4 linked regions of the Schizosaccharomyces pombe genome follow. The protein of the gene in region 4 purifies or fractionates together with the protein of the main gene of each other region. This does not show direct contact. Each region holds a gene or a part of one and is shown on either strand. Other genes may lie near its edges. The genes, in order: ccr4, pir2, red5 and mmi1.

Evidence for each region.
Region 1: the proteins of mmi1 (region 4) and ccr4 purify together in Schizosaccharomyces pombe (affinity purification with western blotting; 2 studies listed by BioGRID, with this or other methods). This does not show direct contact.
Region 2: the proteins of mmi1 (region 4) and pir2 purify together in Schizosaccharomyces pombe (affinity purification with mass spectrometry; 3 studies listed by BioGRID, with this or other methods). This does not show direct contact.
Region 3: the proteins of mmi1 (region 4) and red5 purify together in Schizosaccharomyces pombe (affinity purification with mass spectrometry; 3 studies listed by BioGRID, with this or other methods). This does not show direct contact.

What each region holds. Positions count from the first base shown.
Region 1 is NC_003421.2:635,874-643,972, forward strand, and holds ccr4 (CCR4-Not complex subunit Ccr4), read right to left. Parts: upstream 3,751-8,099; 5' UTR 3,661-3,750; coding exon 1,588-3,660; 3' UTR 1,562-1,587; downstream 1-1,561. Other genes in the region: sec231 (COPII cargo receptor subunit Sec23a), read left to right, coding at 1-888; taf5 (transcription initiation factor TFIID subunit 5), read right to left, coding at 4,272-4,368, 4,419-4,683, 4,733-4,901, 4,958-6,051, 6,265-6,571; cut1 (separase/separin), read left to right, coding at 7,939-8,099. UniProt on the Schizosaccharomyces pombe protein: Acts as a catalytic component of the CCR4-NOT core complex, which in the nucleus seems to be a general transcription factor, and in the cytoplasm the major mRNA deadenylase involved in mRNA turnover.
Region 2 is NC_003423.3:1,216,503-1,224,271, reverse strand, and holds pir2 (C2H2-type zinc finger domain-containing protein), read right to left. Parts: upstream 4,868-7,769; 5' UTR 4,764-4,867; coding exon 4,700-4,763; intron 4,648-4,699; coding exon 4,540-4,647; intron 4,486-4,539; coding exon 4,455-4,485; intron 4,384-4,454; coding exon 2,757-4,383; 3' UTR 2,682-2,756; downstream 1-2,681. Other genes in the region: BAR adaptor protein Hob3, read left to right, coding at 1,076-1,123, 1,166-1,912; peroxisomal targeting signal receptor Pex5, read right to left, coding at 5,457-7,253.
Region 3 is NC_003423.3:1,046,385-1,054,115, reverse strand, and holds red5 (zinc finger CCCH domain-containing protein), read right to left. Parts: upstream 2,514-7,731; 5' UTR 2,037-2,513; coding exon 1,994-2,036; exon of another isoform or gene 1,920-1,993; intron 1,784-1,919; exon of another isoform or gene 1,778-1,783; coding exon 1,748-1,777; exon of another isoform or gene 1,703-1,747; coding exon 645-1,702; 3' UTR 501-644; downstream 1-500. Other genes in the region: Gtr1/RagA G protein Gtr1, read left to right, coding at 1-338; SPOM_SPBC337.11 (peptidase), read right to left, coding at 2,824-3,801; dre2 (anamorsin family protein), read left to right, coding at 4,686-5,552; Erg28 protein, read right to left, coding at 5,996-6,173, 6,238-6,328, 6,440-6,581.
Region 4 is NC_003421.2:336,588-345,064, reverse strand, and holds mmi1 (YTH family RNA-binding protein Mmi1), read left to right. Parts: upstream 1-4,952; 5' UTR 4,953-5,497; coding exon 5,498-5,582; exon of another isoform or gene 5,583-5,710; coding exon 5,711-6,670; exon of another isoform or gene 6,671-6,717; coding exon 6,718-6,833; intron 6,834-6,886; coding exon 6,887-7,035; exon of another isoform or gene 7,036-7,079; coding exon 7,080-7,236; 3' UTR 7,237-7,977; downstream 7,978-8,477. Other genes in the region: TOG/XMAP215 microtubule plus end tracking polymerase Dis1, read right to left, coding at 1-1,713, 1,981-2,031; SPOM_SPCC736.13 (dehydrogenase), read left to right, coding at 3,277-4,296; ago1 (argonaute), read right to left, coding at 8,053-8,477. UniProt on the Schizosaccharomyces pombe protein: RNA-binding protein that recognizes and binds N6-methyladenosine (m6A)-containing RNAs, a modification present at internal sites of mRNAs and some non-coding RNAs.

The sequences.
Region 1 (8,099 bases), 300 kb from region 4:
TCTGCCCCTCAGGGGGACTCTCGAGGTTTGGTACAATATCTAACCTTGTATCAACATTCATCAAACACATTCCGACTTCGTGTAACAACAGTGGCTCGCGCTTTTGCTGATGGAGGTAGTCCATTGATCGTAAATTCATTTGATCAAGAAGCTGCTGCTGTTGCTATGGCTCGTATTGCAGCTTTCAAAGCGGAAGTCGATGATGGACCTGACGTCCTTCGATGGACCGACCGAATGCTGATCAAACTTTGTCAAAAGTTTGCTGAGTATAGAAAAGATGATCCGTCAAGTTTCCGTCTCTCTTCACAATTTACCCTTTACCCTCAATTTATGTATTACTTACGACGTAGCCCCTTTCTGCAAGTTTTTAACAATTCACCAGATGAGACTGCATTTTATCGTCACATGCTCAACCATGAAGATGTTAACAATTCTCTTATTATGATTCAACCTACCTTGCAATCATTTTCTTTCGAACACCCTGGTGGCGTTCCAGTGCTGCTGGACGCTGTATCTGTAAAACCGGATGTTATTCTCTTGCTCGATACTTTCTTCCATATTCTAATTTTCCATGGGGACACTATAGCCCAATGGAGAAATGCTGGCTATCAAAATCAGCCTGAATACCAAAACCTAAAAGAACTTTTAGAAGCTCCTAGAGTCGAAGCAGCGGAGTTGCTTATTGATCGATTCCCGATCCCTCGATTTATCGTTTGTGACCAGGGAGGCAGTCAGGCACGGTTTCTTCTTTCTCGCCTTAATCCTTCTGAAACGCACAACACTACGTCTATGTATGGTGCTCCACCTGCTCATGCTATTTTAACTGATGATGTCTCCTTACAAACCTTCATGAGTCATCTGAAAAAACTTGCCGTAGCTGTTTCATAAATGCACTTTATGAAATCTATAAACTACCAGCCCTTACTTGTAGTCATCGTTTTTAAGAAGTTTAGTCTTTTGGTGATTCTCATAAATAAAAAGCTTTTTATGTTTGATAAACTTCTTGGTCTCTCCAGCTGACTATTATAAACATTAATGAATGATTAAAATTTCAGCACTTTTGGCTTGAGTCTAGGATAGCATAGTCTTGCTTATCAATATTATTTCGTTTACTGATGTTATATTTCTCTAGTATTACGCTCGTTGTAATTTGTTGGTTTTTTAAAATAGATAAATATTTTATGAATTTTTTGTGAAGTTATGTTGAGCAAAATAAGGATATCTTCAACACAATCGATTTTTAGAGATGGTTGAATGTTGATGAAATGGCGAAGCTCATTTTTATTATGAAAATAAAAAAATCAACGTTTTAATGCAAACCATCAGTACGATGTGTGGCGGTTCACCCCTTGTTAATGCTAATTTCCAATAAAAGTAAAACGAATAACTACGTAAACAAAAACGAAACCTCAATGATTTACAATTTATCTATTCAAATTATTACGACAAGGAAAATTACACTGCTTTGATATCTATGTAAACTTAACCAAATACCTGGTACTTGCGAAATGCAGAATCATACATCAAATCCATCTACTTGCTACTAAGTATCACTCTAAAATCTACAAACACGACAAAAACTAACAATCATTTTTTATCATTGTTAAACTTTGATGAAGGTAAGGGTGTCTTCTCCTGTTTCACTTTAAACTCGGCCAGCAAGCAAATATGATCACTAGGGAAGTGTGCGTTAGGGAAACCAACAACGCCGGAAAGATAATCTTTATCCACTCCTTTCAACAAACCGGTTACCTCCAAGCTATTGCCGGTGTACCAAATGTGATCAATGGCACCCTTAAAGCCAGGTGTATAGTTAGTGAAGGAGAGAGCTTCAGATTCACCATATGCAGATTTCAAATTAAATGCATGAGAACGTCCATTAACAGTGTATTCTCCGTAATCATTATTCATAAAATCTTCATGATTTTGGCTAATGCTACCAGATGATAAAAAGTCATAAACACCACTGCCTTGGACGGAATTAAAATCTCCACAAATTAAGATGGGGATCTTTAAATACTCGGGATAGGTAGGTCTTTCATCCTTTAACTGGTCAGAAGGAATCTTGGAAGGCATATTACGGAATTTTGTTGCAACCTGTGCAATCTCATCCATGAGCATTGCAACTTGTATAACCTTGACATCCCTAAACTGAGGATCCCAATGAATATGACAATTTGCAACGATCAATCGCGATCCATTTTCCTTATTCTCAAGAAGAGTAATCACACTAATGTTATCTTTAGTCATAACACGGTTGTACATGTTAGACGTTAGTTTAATGTCTTGCCTACGAAGAGATGGTGCTTGATTATATTCTATCACCATCTTTTCGTGCATGACATATTTAGATGTTTTGAAAAATGTAGCACAACCATCGACGATGCGACGTTCAACCTCATTCATAGTTCGTACGCGACTTTTCGGGAAGTGGACACCTTTATAACCTTTCAAACTCATTTGTGGAGCAAAAAAAGTATCATAGTTCTCAACATCAACTTCTTGCAAACAAATGATATCAGCATTATAACCACCTAATTCTTGCATGATTAAATCTTTGCGATACGACCAAGAGAGTGCCCATGAAGGAGTATAGCCATACAATGTGGATGTAGCATAACGTTCACAAAGCACATTATAACTCATAATAGTAAACTTGAGATTCTTAGATGTTGTAGAGGGCTTGTTAGAATCAGCAGCCGTTAAATCTCTAACAGAGGTTGAAACATTGTCATTAACATCATCATCATCATCGGAAACAAGTTTTTCCCATCCACGCTCAGGAGGAGGAGGGCCAACAGGGCAACCATCGCGCAAAGCAGCAATTAAACCTGCAGTACCACTTTCCATGATTTGATTCTTGTAAACGTCTTGAAGAGGATTACCTTCAATACCAAGAATTTTCAATTGGAAAAGGGTACCGAGTTCGGCAGGTATTACACTAATCATATTATCAAACAATAGGACTTCTCTAAGCTCAGTAAGTAAACCAAGCTCTGGTGGAATAGTTTTAATGCTGTTTCCAGAGGCATCCAAAATAACCAAATTCTTCAGTTTGCCAATTTCAGGTGGTAATCGGGTAAGATTATTATGGTTTATGTATAATTCAGTCAAAAAAGAGAATTTAAATAAATCAGTGCTCACATTTCTCAAACCAATACCACCAAGGTCCAAACAAGTCCAATCCCGTCTCTCTTTCTTAGAGTCAGATTTCGACTTTTGGTCATCAACCGCAACAGAAGAAGTGGTTGTTTTTGACGTACTGTTTAAGGTAGTACCACTGGAAGTGTTTAATGTTGTTGAGGTCGTCAATGTTGTAGTAGTGGAGCTAGTATTGTACTTTCCCCCTAACGAGGATAAGCCAGCAGCATTAGGGCCTCCGGTAAAAGCTCCAGTCCGAGCATTGTAATTCATCGAAAACCCAGGTCCTCCACTTCGTGCTAAAGCCGCAGCATTATGAGCTCGTTGGTGTGGTGAACTGAAGGACCTGGACTGAGTTGCAAGTGCAATTTGCTGTTTCCAATGTTCAGAAATATTACTATTTTCTAAAGCTGGCGAATTCTGTACAGATAATATTGCTGCATGTTGATGGTCTGGCGTCAACAGCCCCGGGTGCGCTCCTGGATAAATTGTACCTTGCGTATACCTAGGATTAAACATAGACGGTATCTCGCAAAATATCAAAGTCGAGATGAATTCTAATTTACAACATTCACTATATATACAATAAAAGTGAGGTTGTTGGTGAACGGCAAGAGTCGAACCCCGTGATAGCTTATAGGTGGGATACGAAAGCTCACCACCAAGATTTGAGACGAAAACTCAGTGTCCTGTTAATCGTTTTTTAGGTATATAATTGCATATGAATGCTTTCAATTAATTCATATTATTAATTTTTTTTCTAAATAATATAATTTAGGGTCCAAACATGAAATTATTTTAGCTTATGTTTAGCGCTGTTATGGTCTATGTAAATATTGGAGCTACTGAAAAATTTAATATATAATGTATCATCAGAAGTCCTTTATGAAGTTTATAATATTAAAAGCTTTTCCGGAACATCAAATATGAATTATTCAGCCTAATTTCGATTCCGATACATGGATGTCTCAAAGTTGTTAAAAGGCAGTTAGTTGTTGACTCATTATCGTAAAGTAAGATAATGTTTAATATTTAAATTAAATTTTTTATAATCTTTTTTTATATAATGCCAAATTTCTTAAAGTATGGACGGGAAGAAACATATTGAAGATCAAAAAAGGTTTATTTATCTAACTAACGCTTATTGCTAAGCAAAGGTTACGACGCGTAAAGGAGACATTAAATATAGGGGTTTGCTTCGTATAAAGAGCTACCATTTGATCCGGACTGTTTGAGAAGGTTAGTAAATATATCGATTCCATTACATTTTCTCATACCTTGTAGACCAATTGACTTCATTAAATGTGGATGTTTTAGCAGAGAAAGGTGTAACAACACTTCCCGTTAGAGAAGAAGAAACAGGATTGTTGTAATTAGTTTTGAAAACGTCCCAAGCTCTCACAGTACAATCTGACCCTCCGCTAACGAGGACCGTGGATTCGCGAGAAAATGACAAAGAGTATATGTTGCCTCTGTGACCTCGCATTGTCTTTATACGCCTTCCTGTTCCTATGTCCCAAAGGTGAATTAGACCTTCACTGTCTTTAATCAAATTAGTAAAATCATTAGTAATAACAAATGTATAACATACCAGCACTTGCCATAGTATGACCATCTGGGGCAATCGCAACAGCAGTTACCGGTTGGGTATGTCCATTAAAAACACGAACAGAATGTCCTCTATGTACATCCCAAAGCCTGCATGTTTTATCGCTTGATCCAGTTAGCACATAAGCGGAGTTTGGATGAAAGGTAACGCACTAAATACAAGTCAGTCATAAGGAAACACATTTCTTAAAAAAGATAATAATCATACGTCTACATCACTTAAATGCCCAGCAAAAACTCTAAGTGGGTATATATGATCACAGCTCCAAAGTTGTGCAGTCTGGTCATGAGAAGCAGTAGCGAAGTAATGACCAAACGGACCAAAGGCAACATCCCAAACCGGGCCAGTATGTCCCTTGTAAGCTACCAAAGCAGTTTTTGTGTCAACAGACCACAGCCGGGCGCTAGCATCTTCGGAACAAGATAGTAAATATTTATTATCGGGAGAAAATGTGGTGCCGTAAACAGGACCAGAATGACTCAGTAAACGTACTGAGCCATCTGAATCCTCTACAGAAGTTGACTTAGGTAATGATTTTTTGTCAGCCTTTATTGACCATAGCCGTATATAACTTTCTTGAAAACCACAGGCGATCATTGTGGAGTCAGGAGAAAATTCAGCACAGTTCATGTTGTTATTGGTGTGATGGAATGTGTACATACAAACACTAGGAAGGGAGGCTCTAGGTCCAAGATGTAATCTTTTACTCCAATCTTTCACAGCCTCAACTTCTGAAAGAATATCAACACCTTTATGAGGAGGAAGAGGGATATAATCTCTAGACGGAGCATCTTCAGCATTAGGTTCATGCAGCTTTCTAAATTCTTTTAATAGTTTTGGAGATTGGTTATTTGGATCGTTTTGGTGCATCATATCCTCTTCTTCTAAGTCCATCTCTACAATTTTTTCCATTTCTTTGTCCATTGGCATTTGTTGCAGCTTTACAGGTTGAAGTTGAGCATCTCCTCGTTCAAAGGATTGGCCGGTAATACCTTCTTGTTCATTGATAACTTTAGCATTTTCCAAGACGGTGGGACGTCCGGGAACGATATGGATATCTATATGCTGATTGATTAATTTAATGATAATTGACCCACCGTTTGAAACGTTTTCAAATAAGAAATGAAGCAATAAATCAAATGTTATCCTAGAAAAATGGAGTTGATATTTATTTTGCCGGTATTGTTGAGCAGTGCGGTCTTCTGCGACATGGCTTGGAAGACTCAGCGATTTTAAGTTTTTTACATCAAAGTCATGAAGATCAGTATGATCGTCTTTGAAGAGTTCGTAAAATTGCTTTGCTATAGCACGTTAGTAAAATTATCATTTATCCTTATAAAGAATTAAATATGGGTGGTCAAGTGGAATGAGTTTCAGAAATAAAGACAAGTTGTAAACTCAATAGATAAAGAAACTAATAAGTATTTAGAATAGTTCAAATACCCCTCTTGTTCGTAGATCATCGAAACAAACATGTAACAAATTCGTAACCTCCTCCAATATGACCAACTTACCAGCTTCATAATGATCTTGAGACAAGAGATTAAGATATGAGTGAACAAATATAGGAAATAATATCCTGTGAAGTTCAGCTTTGTACAATTCTAACGAACTATCCACCCAGTCTCGTAAGATCGTATACGTGTGTGTGTATGCATCTGGAGTTTCCTCAATGCTTTTTAACTTCTCCTCTACTGACACGCCAGAACCCGATGCTTCCAAACGAAGCATCGCCTCGGTCCTTGAGTATCCCTTCTTCGCAAGGTAATCCAGAACAATTCTGTTCAGATCCTGCGGTTGCGGCCCATTAGTGGCAGACATGGTTAAATTCTCCAATACTCTAGCTTGAAGAAATTAATTAGAATCCAAATATAAATCTACAAATGACCGTGATTCATATAATTACCTGCGCAGAGCTCAAAGCAACTTGCTAGGAAGTAGCATATGTCGAGTTCGTGTCTATTAACATACCATTGTGTACCACGCTAAATTGGGAATTTGCAGGATTTATGAATAACTGAAATTTGGAAAGGTTCCACAGTGTCTGTGAGCGTTTTGATGTCGAAATCCTATCTAAATTACTATTTCTTTTGTCCTACTCAAAAATGAACTGTCTATGAAATTGTTTTAATGTCAACACAGGATTGCGAGGCAATGAACGCTAGAAAAAAAAAATAAATAAATAAAAGTTTTGCATAGTAAAACTTTTTCAATTAGATACTTTTTAAAATTCTTTTTTGATTTTCAATTCGGTTTTAAAAACTTTCACTTACTTTTTTTTTAGAAGTTTCATCCCAATTTCGGGATGTTTATAATTTTTTAATTAAATTATAGTAGGGCCCCTTATTAAAATAAAACTAAATGTTGGGTTGAAATTTAAATAGGGAAAATGTAGAAGTTTTTTTTAAAAAATTCAAAAAATTGGGAAATTTCATATTTCCTTCAAAATCATTAGTTTATAACAAAAATTGATGTAGCATTGATAAAATGAGTTTATCAGAAATTATATGTTTTTTTTCCTGTTACAGATTTGTATGGTTTTGAGTCTTAATCGGTTTATTTATTTATTGATATATTTATTTACATTATTGAAATTTACAAATAGTAGGTTGCGATGAAGTAATGGACTGTAGATAATAACTGTAAACTATCAATTATTTACATTCATTTTTAATTATATTTAATTTTCTTCTTTACAGTTTTCTTTCTTTTGGACCAGTTTTAGGGATTTGGTGGTAAGTACTGTGTTTTCATTTGCCTTAACATCCAAAGCATCCTTGCTACCAACTAGCCTATCTTCATCCAGCGAGACGACTTGACAGTTTTTTCGTTTTAGACGAAATAAAAACCAACAGCTCCAAATTTCGACTATTGCAATGTTCTAATTAATGCTGATAATATTCTATTGGTTGGGAAGATCGATTAATCTACTTTTCATAAGCATATAATAAAACATCTACATGATTTTTAAGTCACTAATATTTTCCTCTTCTCAATAATTAGTAATATAACTTTGCGAACTGAAAATCACTGTCAAATTATTAAATCTTATATTTTGGTCGATATTTGCTATTGGCTTAGTTATTTCTTGCAACCTATTCTTCATGAACGGCGTTAAATAATTTAAATCCCTTTTATTGTTGTAACTGTTGCTGGTTAATATTTTTTACTATTCATTCGTTTCCATTATGTCTACAAGGTCAATCGTTACTAGTAAAGTTTCTTGGACTCCAGAGAAGTTCATTTCAGCTCTCAGTTATCCTGAGCATTGCTCTATTACTCTCGTTAAGCGACTCAAGGCTTCTGTAAAATTAAAGGACCTCAAGCAAAATATATCTCGTGATGCACC
Region 2 (7,769 bases), on a different chromosome or scaffold from region 4:
CGGTTAATTATCATCACACAGATGAGATTTATGGGCAAATTTAGTTATAAAATTAGATAAGACAACAAAGAGAGAAGAAAGGTTTATTTCGGTGCTTTTGTTTCTTACTTTCAGAAGAATCTTTCTCTTGGGCATTATCTGGATGTCTTACTGCCCACAGAACAAACAAACTGTCATTGAATGGCTGAGTTCTTGTTTCAATATCTAATATCGCTATACAATAGCTCTCAAAGTAATGCACCACTACTACAACTTAAGTTCTTCACTTTTTGAGTAAGGATGCAAACTATGAGACCGGGTTTTTTTAGCTCAAATGTCGCTGAAAAGCGTTTTCTTTATAGTTTTATCATGAATGATCTCATATATTGATAAGTAGCAATCGTGTCTTTCCATGTCGAAGCCTCAAAACATTATATCCATATAATGCAAAACCATTTATTCCACCACTTCTAATGAAATTTATAAGTTGGTAAAATGTCCGTATTTCAAATTGCTTCTCCACAATATCTTCCATTTATGAGCAAACGATATTACCTCTATATTGTCAAGTTAAAATGTTTACATTGATATATTATATTAAACTATAACATAACTATATTACCTTATAAGGCGATTTCTGCTGGATGCAGTTAGTGAACAAGAATTATCTGAGGATAGACCTCTAATTGCAGTCAGAGATTTACTACAGATGATTATACAAGAAAAATTTAGATATATTTTTTAAGCGATGTAATTTATTGATAGTGACATGAAAGTAAGCCAACCCTCGAAACCCAAATTTACCACCATTATGCTCTTGCTCTATCAATTAAACACAAAATTAACGACACGCTTTTCATCCTTATCTTTTTATAATTGCATTGTGAAATAAACTATCATTATTCTATTTAACGCAATGATAAACTTCGCAATCAGGCTTTACGTTATGGCTTTGCTTCCGTGAATTGTTCCCTACGCGAATCCTGCTGAATCCACTAAAAGATCCAATGCAGCTTAGCTAGCGAACATTAGCGCAGCGATCAACTGACATAAGATATCTGGGTATGCCGACGCTTCTCTTTTCCATATCACAAAAATGAGTTGGCATGGATTCAAAAAGGCCGTTAACCGAGCGGGTACCTCGGTATGTATTTGAGTGTTGAAGAATTGTCTAACATTGTGGTAGGTTATGATGAAGACGGGTCATGTTGAGCGAACGGTGGATCGGGAATTTGAAACAGAGGAAAGACGTTATAGAACTATGGAATCAGCTGCAAAGAAGCTTCAAAAAGAAGCCAAAGGTTATCTCGATGCTTTGAGAGCCATGACTGCGTCTCAAACTAGAATCGCTAACACAATCGATGCATTTTACGGTGATGCTGGATCGAAGGATGGTGTCAGTGCATACTATCGACAAGTCGTCGAAGACTTGGACGCCGATACCGTAAAAGAGTTGGACGGTCCTTTCCGGACAACGGTGTTGGATCCCATCTCAAGGTTCTGCAGTTACTTTCCCGATATTAATGCCGCTATCACGAAGCGTAATCACAAATTACTTGATCATGATGCTATGAGGGCTAAGGTTCAAAAACTGGTCGACAAGCCTTCCAACGACACTACTAAGCTTCCCCGTACCGAGAAAGAAGCAGCCATGGCGAAGGAGGTCTACGAGACACTCAATAATCAACTGGTCAGTGAGCTTCCGCAACTAATTGCTCTTCGTGTGCCTTATTTGGACCCTAGCTTTGAAGCCCTTGTCAAAATTCAGCTCCGCTTTTGTAGGGAGGGATATGAGAAAATGGCTCAAGTTCAGCAATACTTTGACAACTCTGTACGCGAAGACTATTCCAATGGTTTGTTGGATGATAAAGTTGAACAAGTTTTACAGAGTATGCGGGATCTTTCCATCGCCGGTTTGAACAACAGTCAGTAGACATCGGTTTTTTAAACACGATTGTATGTGTGCATAGCGCTATCACTCTGTTTTCTCTTTCCTTTTCTCCTCCGAAATAATTGTTACTACACGTAACCATGATCTCTTATCCCTCAATACTTTTTGTTTAACATATCCTTTCTCTTTTACTACTTTATTACCATCTTATCTTGTTTATCTGAAGTGGTTCACGGAATGTTTTCAATTTATTCAATTTTTTGTGATACATAAATATTTTCCATACTTATCTATCCTCGAGTATTTTCTATTGGTGTTACTGGAATTGAAGGGAAAGCCAGCACATATTTATTAAAGACTCAACTGTGAAGCTTCTACATCCTTTCAGTTTCGTAACGTTTCCTTTATAATTTTTTAATTGGGAATAGTTATCAAATTATCAGATAAACAAATTGGTTTTCCAATATTGTCTGTCGACCCAGCGATTCATCTACTAAACTGTGCTTATTTTCTATCTCGTACCAAGTTTTGTTCTAATAAATAACTATTGTTAAGTAAGTTTAGACCAAATCTTAAAATATAATAATTAGAAAAAAAAATGCTTTTGTTGACTTACGAATTATTAATTTGAATTGTAATTTATTAATTTTCCAAACAATAGCTATCTTGTAAGCTGTAAGTCAAGTTGGAAGTGGGTTTATTTCTATCTGTGCAGCGTTCGATGTTTGATTTTCGAACATGGACTTAAGCGTTCAATTTTACAATAGCTGTGAATGTAGATTATCGCTACTTTAAAATCTAAAATATAGTATGGAGCTACAACTGCTAGTAACGTCTATACAGGAAATGATATTAACCAAAAATCTTTCTGACTAAGAACATAAATTTAGTAATCTAATTCTGGAACCTCCTGGTTAGGCGCATCCAAATCTTGATAAGTTCTATAGAATTCCCGTCTGTGGATCATGGGTTCTTGCCTCGAATAAGATTTTTGTGATGATGCTCCAGAAGTTATCTCCTCGTCATTTCGTCGACTATAGCTTGTTGTTGGAAATGTATAGTTTGCGTTAATATTTCTGAAACCAACGTAGGGCTTGTTTAAAATCTGTAAGGATACATACGACGTGCTTACCACTTTGGGATCCATAGCCCTACATGGGTCAAGCACATATCCATAGAGACATATAGCCACCTTTTTAATGTGATCCAACCAATCCTTATGCTTTTTATTTATATGCTTTCTGACAAACTCAGGTCCTAAGAAAAGCTTCGCGCATGTTCCGACATGACACCTATATTTTTGTTCATCTTCTTTCATAATAACAGAGTCCAATTCGTTATTAATAAAATCTTCAACGGGTAATGCCCCTTTTGCTTTAATATCCACATTTTCAGGCTCAAGAAGGCAAGCAAAATTGTTTTCCAAATCTGACAACCAAATATTTTCTTCTTGACCGACTTCTTTGGATGGATTAAACTTTTTCCGCGAGTAACCTGCAGGACTATCCTGCAGTAAAGCAATTAAACTTTCGTACTCTTTACTAGTCCAGAAATCAAAAGTAGCCACTTGGCGAAGATACTCGGCGTACAGATCACTTAAACGAATGTCATGAAAATTCGTCGGCTTATCATCGTCATCTTTCATAGATGCATGTGTTTTCAATCGATCTTCGATACGTTGTGCAGCATCATTTGGTAAACTATACTTCGTACTAGCCCGATCTATAAAACGGATTAGTTTTTCTAGCAAATTTTTACATGTCTGCTCAGAAGAAGCGATTTCAAAAATAGGTATGGGATGCGTGTGAGTAGGAATTTTTGGATTTTCAGATTCAATAGTAAAATTTGAATCCAATTGAATCCCATCCACCGCTTCTTTAGCTCCATCCATATTTGTTCCTGCTTTGAAATGAACCCAAAGTGAGCGTTCATCATTCTTGATTAAATTAATAGTAGAAAGGGAAAAATGTTGTACGAACGAAATACCATCGAGTGCATTATGAATTTGCGCAACCGAGATGTTGGGCAAAACATGACTGACCAATAGTGTATTTTCCATTGCATCGTTTCGAGAGTCTTGGTTCCATTTGGAAAGTTGCGGGTCGTTAGAAGGAAGAATTGAGTCATCTGTATCATTATCAGGTATTGACGGCTTTTCGATTACATCCTCAGCGGTTGGAAGCTGAAAATCATCATAATAACCGGCGTCTAATCTGTCCATGAATTTATCGTATAACGCCCGGCGATAAGATTTCTCATTTTCAGACACTTCAAGGACTCTTCCTTGTGACTCGTCCACCCAATAGCTGTCTTCAAACCAAGCTTCGTCACAATGGCTCTCAACAAAACTTCTTGCGGTCCTAGCGTATAGATCCTGTTTATAATTGTTGTAAGTTCCATGAAGCGAGTTGTATAAGTCTTCAGTTGTTGCGGATATATGGTTTTCCTTGCTATACCACCGAATAAACCGTTCATAAGAAACCGCATTTGTTTGAGTATATGGATCAATTAAACTAGTCTCCTTGTTAGAAAACTTTGGTTTTTCACTCACATCGAGTAGAGTATTTATTTAGTCGTAACTTACGGTTTAGTAAATGTAGGGTAAGGTCCAGAAGCTAGACGTATTGTAGTTAATAGGTCAATTCATAGAATTTTATATTTATTCTTACCTCTTGTTCTATCATCATAGTAATTACCACGCTTTCGTAGAGGAGACCGTTCTCGATGATACGCAGACTGTTCACCAGGGGGGCTCTGTGAACGTCTTTGACTCCGTTCTATGCAAAAAAAGGATGAGTATTTCTATCAAACTAAACATTAACAACTTACCAGGAGAGCGTTCTCTTTTCCAACGACTGTACTCTACTTCACTTTCTTGATGGACCTCACTCATATTTTGACACTGTTCCCCTTCTATAAATACCAGCAATCGGGATTAATTTATTAAAAAACTAATGATTTCAATTGGGTCAAAATTGGTACTCAACCTGCTTAGTTGAAGAATGTTCTTACGAGAGAGAAATATCCATACAGCACTTTATGCTGGTACACTAAGTTTCATTATTCAAAATATAGAAAATTGTCAAATACTTTATTATACGCATCAGTATATCTAAATAAACTGAGATTATAAAAGCAAATGATTAAACAAAAAAGTGAGACTTCGAATTTTATGCGAATGCTATTGAACAATTAATACTAAACATTGTCTCATTATCGTCAATAAATACAATGTTGGATTACTTAAAAAACTGTGCTTACAAAGAGCTTAGAAGCACTCTCACAAAAGTAAACAATAACATCTGTTTTCAAATCACTGAAGATCTAATTTCCATTGTATAAACGGTCAAGAAAGGTACAACTTGCATACCAATAGTAACTTTGGTAGCATAGAGTAAGATTTCTTTTACTTTTGTTCTCTGCTTCAGATATTGAAGCGTAAGTTATCTCATTTCTTGTGCAACAAAAAAAAAGTAGCTTTTGCACGTCCTCTAAAAGATATGCCTCAGACAAAAAATTTAAAAAAAAAAACAACCAAATAAATAATAACATGAAAAATGAATTAAGCACGTTTGCTTTAAGAGATTTATTCGAGCTCAACACCGGGCCAACCTTGGAGATCACTTAACTGGGCTCGTATATAACTAGTGTTTGCTCCAGGATAGGACTGAGAGGCAAGATCAGTACTTTGGAATCCAATCAAAAATACTTTGCGAAGCATTTCCCAAAGTTCCTCATTTGATTCGCAGCTCTCCATTGAGGTAGAACTGTTTTGTATAATATCAATTGCAGCAAGTAGATGTTTTGCAGCATCTTCAAAGTATCCTAAATTGATGTTGGAAACAGCCATGTTTGAGCGAACTCGAACATACTGGGGCTGTAGAGATACTGCCCGATTATAGGAAGAAACAGCTTCAGTATTTTTTTCTGCATTTGTTAAAGCAGCACCAAGCTTATTCCACAATATTTCGTTACTTGGTTCGTCTTGAAGAGCTTGCCGAAAACAATCTGCAGAACGCTCATACTCCTTCAACATATACATAATTATTCCTAATCCAGCTTGTACCTTGGAGGAACGCTTCTTAGCAAGTGATAACTCATAAGCTACATCCAAGAAATACATCTGCATTTTCAAGAGATCGTTAGCAGAATCTTTCTCTTCAAACCTTTCGTTTATCTTTGCAAACCTGTTTCGGTATTGGGGAAAACTGTTGACTATCCAGTCTTCTAAGCAAACCAATGCCTGAACATTTAGAGACTGATTAACATAAGACACAGCAAGATCCATCATTAAGTCAAGATTGGTTGAATCCAATTTGACAGCTTCAAGTAGGGCTTCAACAACCCGCGATTCGTTTCCCAATAGAGTATGAATGCGACCTAACCATTTCCAGGCCTCGAAGTGCTGTGGATTCTCTTTCACAGATTGTTCCAATAACACAGCTGCTTTCGAGATAGATCCTCCATTTTTTATTAAATTCATGGCTTCAACAAATGGATCTATTCCGTTTAGCTCTTTCACAACCTCTGAAGATTCATCTTGGTTCTGTGAATATACATCTTCCGTTTGTAAAGAGTTTTCAACAACGTTATCAGTATCGCTATGCTGGAAAATTTGAGGATCTATGTTTTTATTATGAGCTAAATTATCATTAGCAAAGCTATTCACAGACGAAGTGTAAGGATCGTCAGAAATATTGTTTGACTTTAAAAAATCTTCCCATTGTTTCTGGTATTCCTCTAAACTTGCGGGCTCTAGCCCGGCGTTTTTCAATTGCTTTTGATGCTCTTCCCATAGCTCCTCAATTGATTTACTTCCAGTAGCATCCTTTTCCTTCTCTAATTTATTGGAGATTTGAGAAGCTTCCTCAAATTTCTTAGCCAACTCAGTTTCGTCAATAGCTAAAGAACTTTGTAAGGGTATTTCAGTATTTGAAGATAAATTTAGTCCAGCGGAACCAAAAAAAGATTGTTTTAAAGGTTGGTTTAAGTTTCGAAAACGGTCGTTTTCAGATGAATTGAGAAATACTTCAGAGAATTCTGATGTCCAAGCCGACTTACTATTCTGCTGCTGAAGAGAAGAAAAAGAATGTACCCAATTTTCTTTCGAGCCTCCACGAGTAGTTGTGCCGGTATGATTTCCAGTTTTTAAGCTAACTGGGTTCTTAACTACATTACCTAAAGGACTATTGTTTCCTTGGAGATTTTTGAAAGATGTGAATTGATCCTCAGACAGCGTTTGCAAAGGAGCGTAAGTACGACTTTGAGACTTGGTTAAATGTTTTCGATATTGAGCTGAAGGTGTTGAATTATTGACAACAGCTGTGGAAGTCAATTTCTTAAGAGGATTAGATAGCGTTGAACATCCTGCTTCAACAGACATTTTTGAAGAAAGTAGACTATAGCCAATATAAAGGCTCTCGACCAAAAGGAAATAGTTTTTTAAGTAGGTTGTAAGAAAATTAATATCAAAGAATGAAAAATTTCGCAACTTGATTGAATTTGCGATGTGTTTTAAAAACCAAAAATATGAAAACAAAAAAGCGGAAGAAGTAACGATGCAACTAACCAAAAAACAAAAATTGATCGCACCAATGATTGTTACAAAACTTGCGTATAAACTCAGGCATGTATTGCTGCTTATTACCAATTACAAAAATATTTAGATGAGTGCGCTCAGTTCATGTAGATGCTGAGCGTAGCACGTTAGATTAATCGCTTCTGTAATACACCACATTAACCCATATCAATTTATAATAAAGACTTTCTCTTTATTTTTTCAGACTAATCTATTGCCACTAAGGAATTTAGATTTCAACATTTTATTATACTTTTGTAAACCATGCTGCATATGTTAAAACCATAGCTTTATGATACAGAGAAAAAAATCCATATTATT
Region 3 (7,731 bases), on a different chromosome or scaffold from region 4:
AGGTAATATTATTTGAAAGAACAACATTTTTGGTTATTTCTTCTTATTCTTCTGAGTCCAATCCTGCCACTGATGCTCACAGGTTCGAAAAAATTAGCAATATTGTTAAGCAATTTAAACTCAGTTGTAGCAAAATGCAAGCTCAATTTACTACTTTTGAGCTTCGTGGTGGTAATTTCTCTGCATTCATTGTTCCATATACTGAGGACACATACATATTGGTGGTCATTGCTGATCCAGAAATCGAATCAGCAGTAACCCTTATGAACATTCAAAGTGCTCGACGATTTATAGAAGCTTCAAAGAGCGCTTCGGACGGTATTCAACTGCAACCTTAATTTTCCGTTTGATAGATCCATCAATCTTGTTCTTTTTTCTTTGATAATCGTAAAAAATGTGGATCTAATGTATTTTACTCTTGTTGCTGTAATTACCTAGCCTCTTAGTTTTAGTCTTTAAAAAATAATATTCTTTATCAACTAGTTGAAATCTTTTTCTATTTTCTTTCTAAATCTTATGATATTTTTTAAAAATTTATTGTATTCAATTAATAGAAAATTATAACTCATTATCATCAAAAGTTTAGACATTGCGTAACTACACGATAATTTAATTCTACAAGATCAAACTGCTAAACGAATTATCTAAACGGATATAAAATCCAAGTTGCTTTCTAAGGAATTACTTCCAATTTCCGATCCAGAGTCTTCTGGATTTATAGAACCAGCAGTCTTCGATATTGGAGCTTCTGTTTGTTCTGGTACATCAGCGGAAACAGCACCATGATAGAGAGAGCATTGTGGATTATTACACGAACCAAACATAGCATAATCGGTACACTGAAGAATATGTTGATTTTTGCAAGACGTCCCTAACTCACAGAAACCGTACTTGGCAAATTCAAAACATATAGGGGCATTTTCAGAGTAATGAATGTGCACATATCGACAATTTGGGTTATTGCATTTTCCTAATAGAAAATACCGGCATGCAGGAATTCGTCTGGGATCTAATTCATGTGACAAATTACAATCTTCTGCTTTATTACATCGACCATTCAAAAATTTCGGACATATCGTTTTGCGGGTGGGCTCATGCACGAATCTGCATGCTGCTCCCTTCCCACAAATTCCATTAGCATTATAATAACGGCAATAAACAGCTGAAGGTGAATTTCCAACCTCCTTGAGAAACCTCTTCTTTTTAAGAAGATAAGACTTATTATTCCAATATAAATATTTTGGACATTGTCCCTTAGCACTAACAAATTCCAACCACTTGGTATCAGATACACCGGTAATATACTGCAGTCCGTCAATAGTTACTAATTGTTTAGTACCATCGGATAATCTTTGCTGGATTTTATTTTCGGCTAAAGTTTTGTATTCTTTCTCAAGCTTGGCTCTGTAGCTCTCCAAATTAGCTTTTCTCGCTTGCAAATCATGTTCAAGAATATTTTTTTTAATCAGTTGCATATGTCTGTTTTTCCGTGATACATAGTCAGATGTGGATTGTTTTTCAGGTTCCTTATTGGCATCGTCTGCATTCGATGATGTTGACGGTATCACATATGGAGGGCTAGCAGCTGTCGATTTCGAGCGATTGGATTTATTGAGGATAAAAGAATAGTTCCTAGAAACAGAATAGGGATACGAACGAGTATTCTTATTTGCTTTAGCGGCATCTAAAACCTGGGTAGGTTCTGCTAAAATCATGAGTCAAAGTTCCTCATAAATGGGCATCTTACCTTTTTCATTTTTATATTGATTGATAGCACCTAAAGGTTAGTTATATTATTACTGAGCGTTTCATAAATAAAGAAACATAAAGATATTTTTTTGCATAAAATCTGTCTCCTTGAAAATCCTAATTATTCATTGGTTTCAAAAACCAAAAAGCTCATTAGTTAAACCAATCCAACTTCAAAGTCGACCAAATTTATTCTGTATAACAGACAATCAAAAGACGTTAATACAATTTAATCAAAACGTACCAGCTAATGAAGCAATATTTTCCAGCAATTGTTGCTCGTTCATTGTGAATGCCGCCTAGAACTAATAAATAAATATAACGAACGGATGTTTTTTTTTGTAAAATAAACCAACAGCTTTAATGTCTTTTATTGAACTTGAATCGTCCAAGTATTTCCTGTTTTAAACCACCACTTGATATATTATGCAAAAGCTCTTGTTTGCTCAATGTTTTAAAATGAGTGGTTTTCCACTTTAATGGTCTTTCGTTCTATAAGTGAATCTTTTAAAAAAAAGTCTTTGAGAACCTTTCCTTAAACAAAACTGTTTAAGTTAAATGCCCAAATAATTGAACGACAACGATTAACCAAGGTCTTTACTTTTTTTAACGACAGGCAAGAGCTTATATGTTTGACAATGACCTTTTTGAAAACGTCGTTACAAAAACAAAAAAACTATGAAAAAGTCCTTGAAATAAATTCTTACAGTAATTAGATGTGGTAAGGTATTTCTAAGTCGACAGATTAGAGTAGCGTAGTCGGTGGCACCAACAATGTCGGAGTAGCATCAATGTAATTACCGACGCTTTATAACGATATTTTAAAAAAAACTATCTTAAATTATCAGTATTAAAACAATATTGCTTTAATTATAATGAAATCCTTTTTACTTAATTTAAATAATCCTTCTTTAAAGCGTAGCTCAAAATTGTTTTTTTCATTAACGAATAGATACCTCTTTATAATAATAATAATAATAAACGATATGAAAGATCAAAGCAAATATTTATAGTTCTTTTAAAATTTACTGATTATACAGAAAAAACAATTTGGTAAGTCTGTATTTCGGACGCTTAATTTGTGCTCATAGTAATCACAAACTTTGTAGAACATTCATTCATAAGTTTTCTATATGAATTTATACATTCATCAGTAAGAGATGTTTCAGCAATTTTCTTGTTTAATACCTTATATTTCCCTGCTTCAAACTTGGCGACCATATTCTTTAATAGTGAGTTTGATTCCACTAACGAAAGTAAGAGAGAATTGCACCCAATAATCTTCAGATTTTTGCGATATATTTGTTTCATGTCATACGAAAATTCTATACTCCCTTGCTTAGGTGCGGAAATATAAGACAACCTTCCCCCTATTCCCAATTGATTGAGAGCCGATTTCATCAACAAAGGATCGCCCACCGTATCGATTACCACATCAACTTTCTCAACCAATTCGTGGACCCTTTTTAATTCCGGATCCACCACTGTATTGATATCGGTTGAGCCGCTCCTAGACACTGTGATTACCTTACATCCCCAATCCTCTGCTATTTGACAAACAGCCGACCCGACAGCACCTAAGGCTCCAACCACTAGTACTATATCGCTGCCTTTGGTTTCTCCTCTGCTTAAAGCCAAATAAGCGGTTGTAAAAGGGACACCGACTGATGCTGCCTCAGTAAACGACAAATTGCTTGGCATACGAACAGCTGCTTTTTCCGGTATTATGCAGTATTCAGCATGAGTACCGTCTTTAGTGAATGATAGTTCGCTACCGCTCGTTCCAAACACTCGAGTTCCTACTAAATGAGATGCGCCACTAATTACAGTACCAGCATAATCTCGCCCAACGATTCGAGGATAAACAGTATACGGGAAACCCCCTGTTGCGTTCATTAGATCACTGGGGTTGATGGCAGCAGCTTCAATTTTTACAAGCAACTCTCCATTCTTTGGTTGGGGAATAGGAACACTCTGAATTTCAATACCCAAACAACCTGGCTTCGGTTTTTTTAACATTCGTAACGCCTTCATCATTTGATAGTATTGCATTTAATAAATCCTTCTTTTTGAAGTAAAAAACCCTCTAGTCTTACATAAAGTTATCATTATTATCTTATACAGTCGATATGTAATTTGTATATGACACCCACGGCAAAATACGAATATCAAATTTCTCGAAAAAACACAGGGCTAAAAATATTTGACTATTAAATGTAAATTACCAAAAAAATGGTTCTCAAAGCTGGAAATAGTTGCGTGCAGCCAAAAGTACAACACAAGTTTTCACTTGACCCGACATTTCAGTCGATTAGCCGGTGATTCCGTTGACTTGTTCGATCAGTATGAACAAAGTAGAAATCAATGACTTACCGAAATGCGCAGTACTTCATAAGCATAAATAACGATATATAAGAAAACCACAATATTGTTTTAGCTATATGCCTTACAGTGCCACATGATTGGATTCTATTCATTTTAAGACATGCTGACGGATTACCAATCAACAGGTTAAATTTACAGCGTCGCCACTTGTGGTAAATAGAATTTAACAAGAACAAAATACTAATCATTCCTTTTTTTTATTGTTTGAGTATTATTTCTCTATAATTGATCATTTCATAACGTTAAGGCGTGGAAATTTTCATATTATATCTACAGATAACTTTTTTGTTTATCCGTTGATTAAAAGAAAAATTTTACCACTTTCAGACCGGTAAAAGGAAGACAGTTTTTGACTTTTTTCTAATTGTCTGTACATACGTTACAACGATCTAGATTTCGTTTTTATTTTTATTATTGATAGTGTTTTTTGTATTCGTTGGTGGGTTTACTTACCAATTGCTAAGGGTTTCATTTCGCTGAAACGTGTAATAATATAATAATTTTAATTACTTTTTTTGCTTTTGTTTAAGCTGTTAATATCTTCTCTCAATATGTCATCTTCTGTCCTTGTTTTGACGTCTCCCGGCTTTGCTTCAAAAGAGGAGTCTTTGAAAAAAGTTTTTGACCTTATCGATAATGGTGCTTCTAGAGAGTTGCAAATGATAGATCGCGTCCAATCTCAACTTGTTAATTTACCCATCAATCGATATGATTCAGTTATTGCTGCCATTGATGATGGTGCATGGTCTTCAACTCTAGGACCTATACTTTCACAAGCCTTTGCATCAGTACATCCTGGAGGAACACTTCGTGTTTATTCTACTGCCGATGAAGCAGACGAGTCATTTGAAATGACAGCTTTGCTATCTGGATGGCTTATTGAATCAAAGAGTCCTTGGATTTTATCTCGTCCCAATCAGGTGGAAGCAGTTCCCATTAAATTATCAAACAAAAATGGTCAATCAGCGAGCAAAAACAAAATTCTTGATTTCTTAAAATCTGACAAGGAAAACCTTATTAGTGGTGATGATGATCAAGAACTCATCGATGAAGATGAGTTGTTAGACGAAAGTGCCCACGATAATGTTTTAAAAGTGCCCGAGTGCAAACCTGAACCTGGAAAGAAAAAGCGTGCTTGCAAGAACTGTACCTGTGGATTACGTGAAATGGAAGAACACGAGTCTTCCAAGACATCCGCACAGTTAGAAGCTGTAAAACTTACAGACACCACCGAAGTTGATTTCACCGAGAAGCTCAAGAGTAAAAATGCCGTCTCAAGTTGCGGAAATTGCTATCTTGGCGACGCTTTTCGTTGTAGTGGATGCCCGTATATAGGAATGCCTGCCTTCAATCCCGGTGACACAGTTATATTGGCTGAAAATCGTGACAAGATGTCCTGGATGGCTGATGACATTTAATTTATGGTTATCTTGTAATTGAGATGTTCCGGTTTATGAATGACCGTACTGCAGTTCTATTGCCTAATTGAAACTAAAGTTAAATACTTTTTTTTGTTAACATTTGTTTTTAATTCCGATATTTGCTATGATTTTGTAAGTTCTGGTTAAGTTTGAACTAACAATGTTGCAAATTGAAGTTGAAGTGGTTATATTACTATTGGTTTTTAGTCCCTACTATGTCTTTGGGCAAAGAAATCGAAAAACAAGACACCATGCTTTTCCTTAATTTTTTTAAAATCATCAACATTCTAGAATCTAAACTAAAAATTTGAAGAATGGTTTAGAAATAGAACCATTGCATTAAAGCCCGAAGGCATAAAAATGATGGATTTATGTTGATTCTTTTTCTTCTCTTCTCTCCAAGCAATATAGTATACGTAAAATGGGGGAGTAAAAAAAGGTTAAGCAGCGATCCCCAAAATCGAGGCTTTTTCTTTCGCCATAAACCAAATGCTAACGGTCGATACCACAATTGGACTCAACAATCCTGGTCCCAAGTTAGTAGTACGGAACAAAAGCCATTCAGATAGGAAATGAAAGCAGGCTAAATAATATGTGCATTGGCATAGAAAATACACACTAATAGAAGTTAGACAATATCAGATGATTTTGGAAATTGAATGTTTGATTTGATTCAACATACTCTGGATTTGTTATATGATATGCGCAATAAAAACGCACTATGGCACTTAGTAATGTCCAGATGCCAAAAGTACGACCTTGTAATCCATTGACTACAGATATAAAGTCAGCAAAAAATAATCAGCTAATAAAAAAAAGCATCATTAAAGAGCTTATTATGTGTATTATAAATCAATTAAACTCGTAAAAACCATGATTCTTACCTTCGTTAGTGTTGCTATATACACGCTTAGTCAACTTTGGAGTCAAAAACGATTGAACGGTATTGAAAAGCGCCGCTACACTGACCACAACATTCCATTTGGCAACTAAACTATCTGGGAGCATAGCTAGTATTTGAGACATTGTTATTTCTTAGGATATTAAATTTCTAGTAGTGTGTAGTTGAGGGATTACAGTACTAAATTGGAGAAAAGCGACTGTGAGCAATTTATAACATTGACAGGTTTTGCACTAACTTAATTAGTAAAATCGATGCGAACATTATGTTTTATATCGCTATGCTAAGACAGATTTAGTATAATAAAACAACAAAGTAAGCTTATTTTCAATGTAAAAAGAGATGCTTTTTTACTGAGGTTTCAAAGAGATTTCTTTTTCAGTGCTGATTTCGGGTTGGGATTTACCGGTGAGAATATCCTTACAACTAGGTTATTGCATAAGTAACGTCCCGGTGAATTGTTGACATTGTACGATTGTGATAACTGGGGCTGACTTAGCACATTAGCAATTAGAAAGGTAGTAAGAGATCCTCGTCTACTTATATTTTCGTATATCTTAGTAAAAACACGAAAGGATTCTACCAAGGATCAAATATACATAGCCGAATTGCTGTCCAAAAAATGGCAAGAATGTATACTTTTATTAAGTACCGGCTTTACTATTTTTAATTTACATAACTTGATAGTAGAGTTTTCAAAAATCCAAGTAACCTTAGAACCATAATCAGGAGAATTAATTATTTTAATGATCTTATTGTAAGTAACCCACCGTTTGTACGGAAACACTTATGTAAATACTAGGGATGGGTTGATACTACTTGTACAATTGTAACCTGGAACAGCTCAAAGTAGATGAGTATTCTAATATTTCAGGTTGGCGGTTAACTTATTGATTAGCAAAATATATTATACTCCGTGTGCTACATAAGAAATTAGTAGAATTCCATATGAATAAGAAATCTGCGTTTTAAAACCTAACATCTATATAAATTATTCATTAAAAAAGCATTAAACTATGCTAATTATCGCTAAGAAGCATGAGCGCAGCTTACTCCAAATTCCCAGTCACAAACCTGACCCACATCAAAAAAAAGTATAAACATCAAAATTTACAAAGAGCACATATATCGTAGACCATGGTATCTTTCGGATTATGCTTCTAATGATGATAAACAATACTTTAAGGATGTAAAACGATTTTTAATAATCGTTCGTATTGTCGACTTTTTTTTTATTTTCGTCTTTTAAATCGCACATGATTTTATAGTCTTGTC
Region 4 (8,477 bases):
TCGTGTAGATAGAGATTCTTCTGTCAAACTCGCCTGTGATGGATTCGAGGATGGTAATGGTGAAGGTGCTTGTGGTGTAACAGCCAGTTTAACCGGTGATGTCTTTAAAGGAGAGGCCACTCGTGGCAGCCTGGGACGTGAGGGTTGATTCGGATGCGCATTCACCGTAATGTCCTTGGAAAGTTCTAATATTTTTGGTAACTTTTTAGGATCCAATCCCACAATATACTTGGACAACACTGGCTGACTAAAAATTTGCACAAGTGTTGCCAATACATTTGTGGTAGCCATTCGGACTGGCTCAAACGTATCGTTGATCAATGTCACACATAGGCTACATAGCGTTTCAAGCGATGCTCGAGGCGGACAAACATCCGTCAATTGTAGGCAACGATTCAGCCATCGAAGTGTCTCAGTTTTTACTTGTGGATTTTTATGCTTCAAAAATTCTAACGTCTCATCCATTATATCATTCAACCCACAGCTCTCAAAAATAGCATTGGCCGCATCCAGCAAAGAGTGCACCAAACTCGATTTTCTCTCTTTAAACCTATCAAATAAAGAAGGCAATACAATACCAGTATACGGAAGAAAGCCCTTCCTTAGCGCCTTGGCAATATGCGTCAATAATAAAGCCGCTACACCCACTACCACCACGTTTGCATCTTTTAGAGACTTTGCAATCACTCGAAGTAACTCACTATAGTCACCCTCTTGATAAACAGGATTGGAACACACCGGTACCATGCTTTCCAACGCTTCCTTTCGATCTTTCCACTTGGGAGAAGATAATGCGGTATGGAATTCTGGGGTTAGTTTGGAAAGAACATCAACGGGCGTACTTCCGACAATGTTTTTGGCAGGAGATACAATGGAACGGGAAGGAGATGCTGAAAAATCAGAAGGTTGTGAGACCTTTCGGTTAGGAGTACTGAAACTAGAAGTAGAGCGTTGCAGAGTGTTTCCCTGCGAAGATGACTTTGAGGACAAATGTGGTTTGGGTTTGGCATTCGATGAAAAAGAAGGAAGAACCACCTCTTGGGTGTTGAGGGAATTTGAAATATGTCCTCCCGTGGTCGTGCGAGATGTAACATTTTGAAAAGAGGCCTCAAGATCGGAGACCTGTATTTGCTTTAGTTGAGGAAACACATGAGTCTTGAATGCATTACCAACCCAAGCGTACAAGGTTATGGATAGATTCGAAGCTTCTTGCCTGATATTCTTATCTGATTGGGCGAACAAAGTAGGAATCAGTTTATAGAATGGAATAGGAGAAAGTGCAGGGATTCCAAAATTCTCCAATAAACTATTTAATTCTTTTATAGAAGCAACTGCCTGCTTGGGATGCTTAACGCGAGCCGCCGAAAATAACCCTTCTAATACATAGTCCAGCGCATCGGATTTAGCTAAAATGAGTAAAGCCTGGTGAGAAGCATCACGGATAGATTGTCTAGGAGATGGTAAACATTTTTCGAGTAGAGGAGCAACAACGAACGATTTGGCAGAATTAACTCCTTTTTGCCTAGACTTGTCTAAAAAGCATCGCAGAGATTTTACGGCATGCTCTTGTGTTGGTACGTTACTATCACACAGCCCTTGTTTCCATAATGCTGGGTCATGAATCCAAGGCTGGAAACAAACGTCTGAATCATCCAATGCTCGGTTCAATGCATGCAACAAAGACTCATATGCTTCAAATCGAACTTTCCAAGACTAAATAAATCAGTTAGAAACCTAAAAACTTAAAATAACCCACTACAGAAGTGAGATCCATCAATACTAGGGAGAACAGGTATGAAAAGAGTAGTGACGGAAACACAAAGCAATGAGTAAAACTAATTGAAATCGTAAAATACAATGGAATTGATCAACAGTGCCCTTAATGCCGTTGCAACGATATTTCCATTTGTTTGCTTTTCATTCCAGTTACATTTTTCTGGACAGCAAGCTTCTATCTCCATTAATTTGTAAAAAGCTTACCTTATCAAAAATTTGACTGAGAATGCGGCTATTAAAATCGTCCAACTCCATTTACATAAACAAATATAAATTAACGACTCGTATGTTTACAACCAGCAGAGCATGAATAGTTATGTAAAAGAATGAATTTTATAGACAAATAGAAAAATGAAAACGAATGAAACGGACGGGATTCTAAACAGTAATGAGTATGGCTCTGAAATTGGAGTTGTACATGTGTAAATAGAGACGACTAACTTTACGGACGACAATGTTTCACTCACACAGCCAGCACCGTAGAGTTAGCACAATTCGTTAGACCATCGTATTGTTGAATATGAACGAGCGCAAGATTACACTATTAGAGCAAAATGTAAATAAAGCAGAGAAAAAGAGGAAACCATCAATAATTTTAAGTTTTTAGAGTAATTTAATTCTTTAAATAAATAACTTTATCTTAAACCGTACCAAAATGATGCTAACAGAAGATGAGCACCCAAATGGAATGTTCACCGATATATTAAGCCTTATGCAAGTTGCTTTTTGAAACCGATTAATGTGCTATTGGGTGGCTCTGTAAGATGCTTGTGATCTAGTATAAGTGAAAAAATGAATTTCTAAGACTCTTACTGAATAAAACATGACGTTTAACTCGTTTAAAGAAGGGAATCCTATAGATTGCAGATTTTTAAGTTTTCGTTTCTATTCATACCTAAGTCTAATTTTATCTTTCATTTGCCCAATCTGAATTCGAGTTCTTCAATTACAATAAGTTCAAGTTATACATTTTTAAAAGGATTCCAATATTCTGTCGAGCACCCAATTCATACATTCAATTCTAAACAATCCATATTTCGTTTTGTAAGCCAAGTAGTCAAAAGTAGCTAGTCGATGTAATACCATGCTTGATCAAATTTTCGGTCCGCAAAGAAGCCGTGTTACGCCTTGAGTTTCTTGGATTTTGAAGAAATTTGTCAGCGGTCATTGTATAAATTACGAATTGCTTCCTCTTCCGCTATCGTCACTCTTTGCAACTTATCATCTGCAGCCACCCTTACCCATATTCAACATATTCGACGAGAACGATATTTAAGTGTTTTCTAGAACTTAAGAACGCTTATTAAAAGAAAATTGTTGATTTATTCTTGAATCTGTTCCAAACTTGATCGATTGATTTCATAATCGCTACAGTTTCGAGTTAAAGACATTGGTAATAAGTTTGTTCTCTGGCCACTTCTTTGCAATAAAATCCTCCCCGCTCATTGTTTATAAAGTTCTTTTTTTTTAATTGATATTAGCTTCAAAAATTTCTTTACGATGTCCTACAGTTTTCAGGGATTGCTCAACCGCGTGAATGAGAGCGCAATTGTAAATACTCTCAAAGAGTACACCGGTCTCAATACACCCAAATGGACCTTTAACGATATTCCCGATCTTACGGGTAAAGTCGCTCTTGTCACAGGATCTTCAGGTGGCATTGGTTATGTAACTGCCCTCGAGTTGGCTAGAAAAGGCGCAAAGGTCTATCTGGCTGGTAGGAACGAGGAAAAGTATCAAAAAGTTATGAAACAGATCCACGATGAAGTTAGACATTCCAAGATCCGTTTTCTTCGTTTGGATTTGTTAGACTTCGAAAGCGTGTACCAAGCAGCTGAGTCTTTCATTGCCAAAGAAGAGAAATTACACATATTGGTCAATAATGCTGGTATCATGAACCCTCCCTTTGAATTGACTAAAGATGGTTATGAACTTCAGATTCAAACCAACTACCTTTCACATTACTTGTTCACTGAGCTCTTGCTCCCCACACTCCGTCGTACTGCAGAAGAATGTCGACCTGGCGATGTTAGAATAGTTCACGTCGCAAGCATTGCATATTTGCAGGCCCCTTATTCTGGTATCTACTTCCCTGACCTAAATCTCCCGCATGTACTTTTGGGTACTTTTGCTCGTTATGGACAATCTAAGTATGCCCAGATCCTTTATTCCATTGCTTTAGCCAAACGTTTAGAAAAATATGGAATATATTCCGTTAGTCTACACCCAGGTGTTATCCGTACCGAGCTGACTCGTTACTCACCTACCTTTGCTCTCAAATTGTTAGAGAAATCAGTCTTCCAGTATTTACTTTTGGATCCAATCAGAGGCGCCATGACTTCCTTATATGCTGCAACCAGTCCCGAGATTTCCAAAGAGCACTTGAACGGCGCTTACTTCACTGCAATTGCTCAGCGTGGTATTCTTCATCGCGCTCATGATGATGCCTTTGTTGAGGAGCTTTATCGCTATACTCATAAGATATTTGAAGATCTCAAGTATTTAGCTCCTTCTCCATAATTCTTTTGCTCGTAATCTGAACAATGATGAACGCTTCTTGAACCACTTAAACTAGTAAAGTGTTTCTACCTCCTCATATATTTTTAGTTGTCTTATGTTGGAATCCCTTTATGATTACTTTATATTAGTAATAATATTATACAATTTCGTATTGCTTAAGAACCACAAACAGCATTTCGACTTTGTCGCTACATCGCTTCTTCCCTGGTAACAGTAGGTTTGATCTCTTACTTTTCTGTCTGTCAAAGCATTGGTATTGTGTATTAGCCATTTTATCCACACTTTAGTCGACTGTATTTTAATTTACAAATCAAATATTTACTTTATAATGTTGATGGTAAATATGGAAACGACTAGTCGACATTTGACCATTCACTATTTACACTCAGAGCAATTTTTTGTTTTTTTAATCTTAAAAAAGAATCTTTCTTTTGAGTATCTCTCTGTGCCACGGGGCATTTTTTGAATCTGCCGAACAAATTTGTAAGAAATGTGAATTTACAAGGAATACTTATTAAAAAGTAAAACTCTTTTAAAATAGAAATTTTTTTATTTACTCAGTAATTGATGGTTTTCATATTCATTTGTTTTATCAAAGTACTTCGTATTCGTTATTACCCGTAATCAAATTACTCTCTCACGATTATCTGCACCTTGCCTTCTTCCAGAAATCCAACACTAAGGAGGCTACTAGTAAACCCTATAATAAAGTGTTTTATTAAACATTCAAACATTATTTTGAAAGTTGACGGGAAATAGCTAACTTTTGAAGAAAGTGAAAAGCTATAATTGGTGATTTTTGGGCTAAACATATTTTTTTTTCTTTTTTTTGGGGCTTGGTCTTCACTTGACTTACCGCTATTCTTTCAAGAGTATATCTATCTTGCTAGTTCTTGCTTTTTTATTTCTCTACTCGGCAAGACTTTTAAAGTAAACGATAGTGGTTGATATAAATTCAGTTAGTGTATTGACCAGCAATTTTGTTTTTTGGGGGGTTTTTTTGGTTCTCTCTTTATTTTTTTTTGTAAAAAAAATATAAAGCAAGGGATTTTGGTGAATATTTATTAACTTAATTTAATATTTATCACAATCTTCTGGCTTCAACTCATTTTCCGTTACTCAATTTACAAATTTTTAGCATTTTAAAGAGGATTTCAAAAAAAAAAGATTATACTTTTTATCACACATAAAAGAAATTTGAATGTCAAACACAAACTTCTCTACTTCTAGGTCATCAAAGTCCATTCCGGAACTTCCAAATTTGGAAGCTCTGCGAAGCCTGTGGCGTAAGTAGATTATTGTTTAAAATATCAGAGAGGAATGTAAAATAGTGTCATTGAAAATTGACTGACTTTTCGCCTAAAACCTCCTACTGTTTAATTTTGTCGAGAATTTTACTAACCACCTTATATAGCTCCACCGTCATTGAACGAATCGGGCGATACTAGAAGCGTATGGACTACTCATACCGGAGAGCCTGTTGCGTCAAGTGTTCTATCTACTTCAGGTTCAAACAACTTTTCTTCACCTCTGAAAAGACCTGCACCAGAGTCACATGACGCTCCTATCGGTAGAAGATTGATGGTAGATGATCCCCGCTTAATTAAACATGGTAAATATGATTTTAGCAGGCATTGCACTGACTATGGTCACTCCTACGAATGGCCTTATTTTCGATCCCTTCGTCGTGAGTCTATGCTTTATCACACTTCGGGATCTTATCCAGAAAGTCAGCCTCCTTACTCTTCTTATTCAACTGATGCTCCACATTATTATCATGCAGGTTCGGAATCCTCTGCTTACTATGATAGCCGTTCTCGTTTGCATGGCATACAACCTCCTCCCAAGCGACGCACACTTAGTCCTCCCCCTAGACGGCTTGCGGACCCAGTGGTTGTTGGAAGTTCTCGTTATGTTGAAGAAGAAGTATACAGAAGGCCTCCTTACACTTTAGCTTCTGAAGTTCCTTCATCCGCTTCAGCATACCAAGCTGGTTACTCTTCCTATCCTGTTCGATCTTCCCCCCAACTTTCTCATGAAGACACTCGTCATGGTATTGCAAGCAGTGGTTCAACAAGGTATCCTTTTGTACCTGCTAATACTCGTGCATCTCACTCCCCTAGTTTGCTTGAACCTTATGCTCACTCCCTTCCCTCTTCGGTCGCGCCAGTTGGAGCTTATCCTGAGAAATCTTCTTACCTGCTTTCTAATTCCAGCAATGATAGTGCCTCAAGAAAAGAAAAACCCAAAGCTCGTGCATCTACGCCTCCTCCATTAAATTTTTCCAGAGCAAGCGAACATAGAAATGAGAAGGGGGAACGCATTTCGATGATTAATCCCCGAGTTGTTCTTGACGAAAATGGAATTTCACACCGTAAGGCTTAGCCCATTAAACCAAAACAAATAATTCTAACAACTTAGGCTCCCGTTATTTTATTATGCTATGTGACAACGAGACTGCCATTGCTCATGCTAAAAAAACTTCTATTTGGGCAGTCAAGAAAGATTCTTCCAAAAGAATTTCTGATGCATATAAGGTTTGTCTTTTATTTCCCTTAAACGATATAGTTTTATACTAACACTTTAACAGAAAGCCAGTGTTTATTTTATTTTTGTGGCTCAGCAAACGTACAATGCTTTAGGATATGCTCAGGTAGTCAGCGACCTAAATAGCACCGAACTGCCCTTTTGGTCAGATAGCTCGCATGCTGGAGGTGTTCGCATCAAGTGGATTAAAACGTAAGTGTTGTACTTTTGAAGATTTCTTCTGCTTACCTAACTAGTTGCAATCTGTTTTCTGCTGAAATTTCTGAAATTGTTAGCCACATGGATCATGGGTCTGAAGCTAGAGATGGCATGGAAATGATGTATGATGAAGGCAGCAGACTTTGTACGTTGATTAACTATGCTATAATGAAGCGAATTGGAAGAGACCGTTGATATCTCCCTTTTGCTGGATTTTCAAGAATGTTGGATGCTTCCTTTAACAAAATTCATGAAACTATATACTATTGGAGCGGATTGATGTTAAATGCAGTGGATTTGCTTAATAAAGCATTCCGTATAGGTCGCTCATCAACATTAAAGATTTAACATTATTAAAAAGTTTTTCTGAACAATAAAAAAAATGCACACTATAATGGTGTTAATTTTCAATCTTGGAGCAAATCAGTTAAGTAAAATTATCATTATTGACTTGTTTTTGCTCCTCTAAACGAAATCTTAACACAGTATGCAATGTTTGGTTCTTGAACTTAACCCAAATACTCTAAAAAATTAGAAATTCTGATTCTCTTCAAACAGGCTGTTTTCAAATTTGAATGATTTTGCTTTGAATGATGTTTTTTCTTAATAAAAAAGCTAGATGAATCTGAATTAGACAAATAGGTAAATTGGTTGTTCAACCATTGTGCATGGAATTTATCGATTTTAATCACTTCTTCTGAGATCCTTAAGTATCATTTAGTTTATCTGTATTTCTATATTGGCGTGACACTTACATAAAGTTCGGGCTTTGGGTTAAGTGAATGTCATTAGTATTATCGTTATCAACATTTGTTGATCGTTGGAACATGGTCAAGCTATCAACAGTGGATAGAGCATAAAAAAACTAACATTAAATGATTAAAGAAAATTACAATAATATAAAGCAAAATAAAAACAGAAGCAGATTTAATAAGGAAGTAAAAGTTGTGGGCAATCCAGTAGTCAATCGTATATCTATTTCATTACTTATTGCATGCAATCCATCAAACATTACATATACCACATCTTTGTTTTCAATTTACTTGATAGAGCTAAAAGCGGCTTTACTTCTTGATCCATTGATGCTTCTGATGTCTCAACAAAAGTATCATCGGCTGTCACGTCTTGATAACGGGCTAAGTTACTAACCAAATGCGCATAATAAACAGGTGGAACCAAGGAAACAGCACTTGTTGCTCTTGCATAAACATAACAAAGATTATAACACAGTGTTTGGAATTGGTCCGGTGGCATCTGAATTTCGTCGTGCAAAACCGTGTAGTGAACTGGGACCGAAACGCCTTGCAGAGATGGGTGGGATATAAGGTAAAAATCGTACTGATAGGGGTGAGTAACATGCTTTTCAATAATTGTACCAGGGAGGGGATTTCCATTTCTATCTCCGTCGGATTTGTTCTTAATGAAGAAACGAGCGT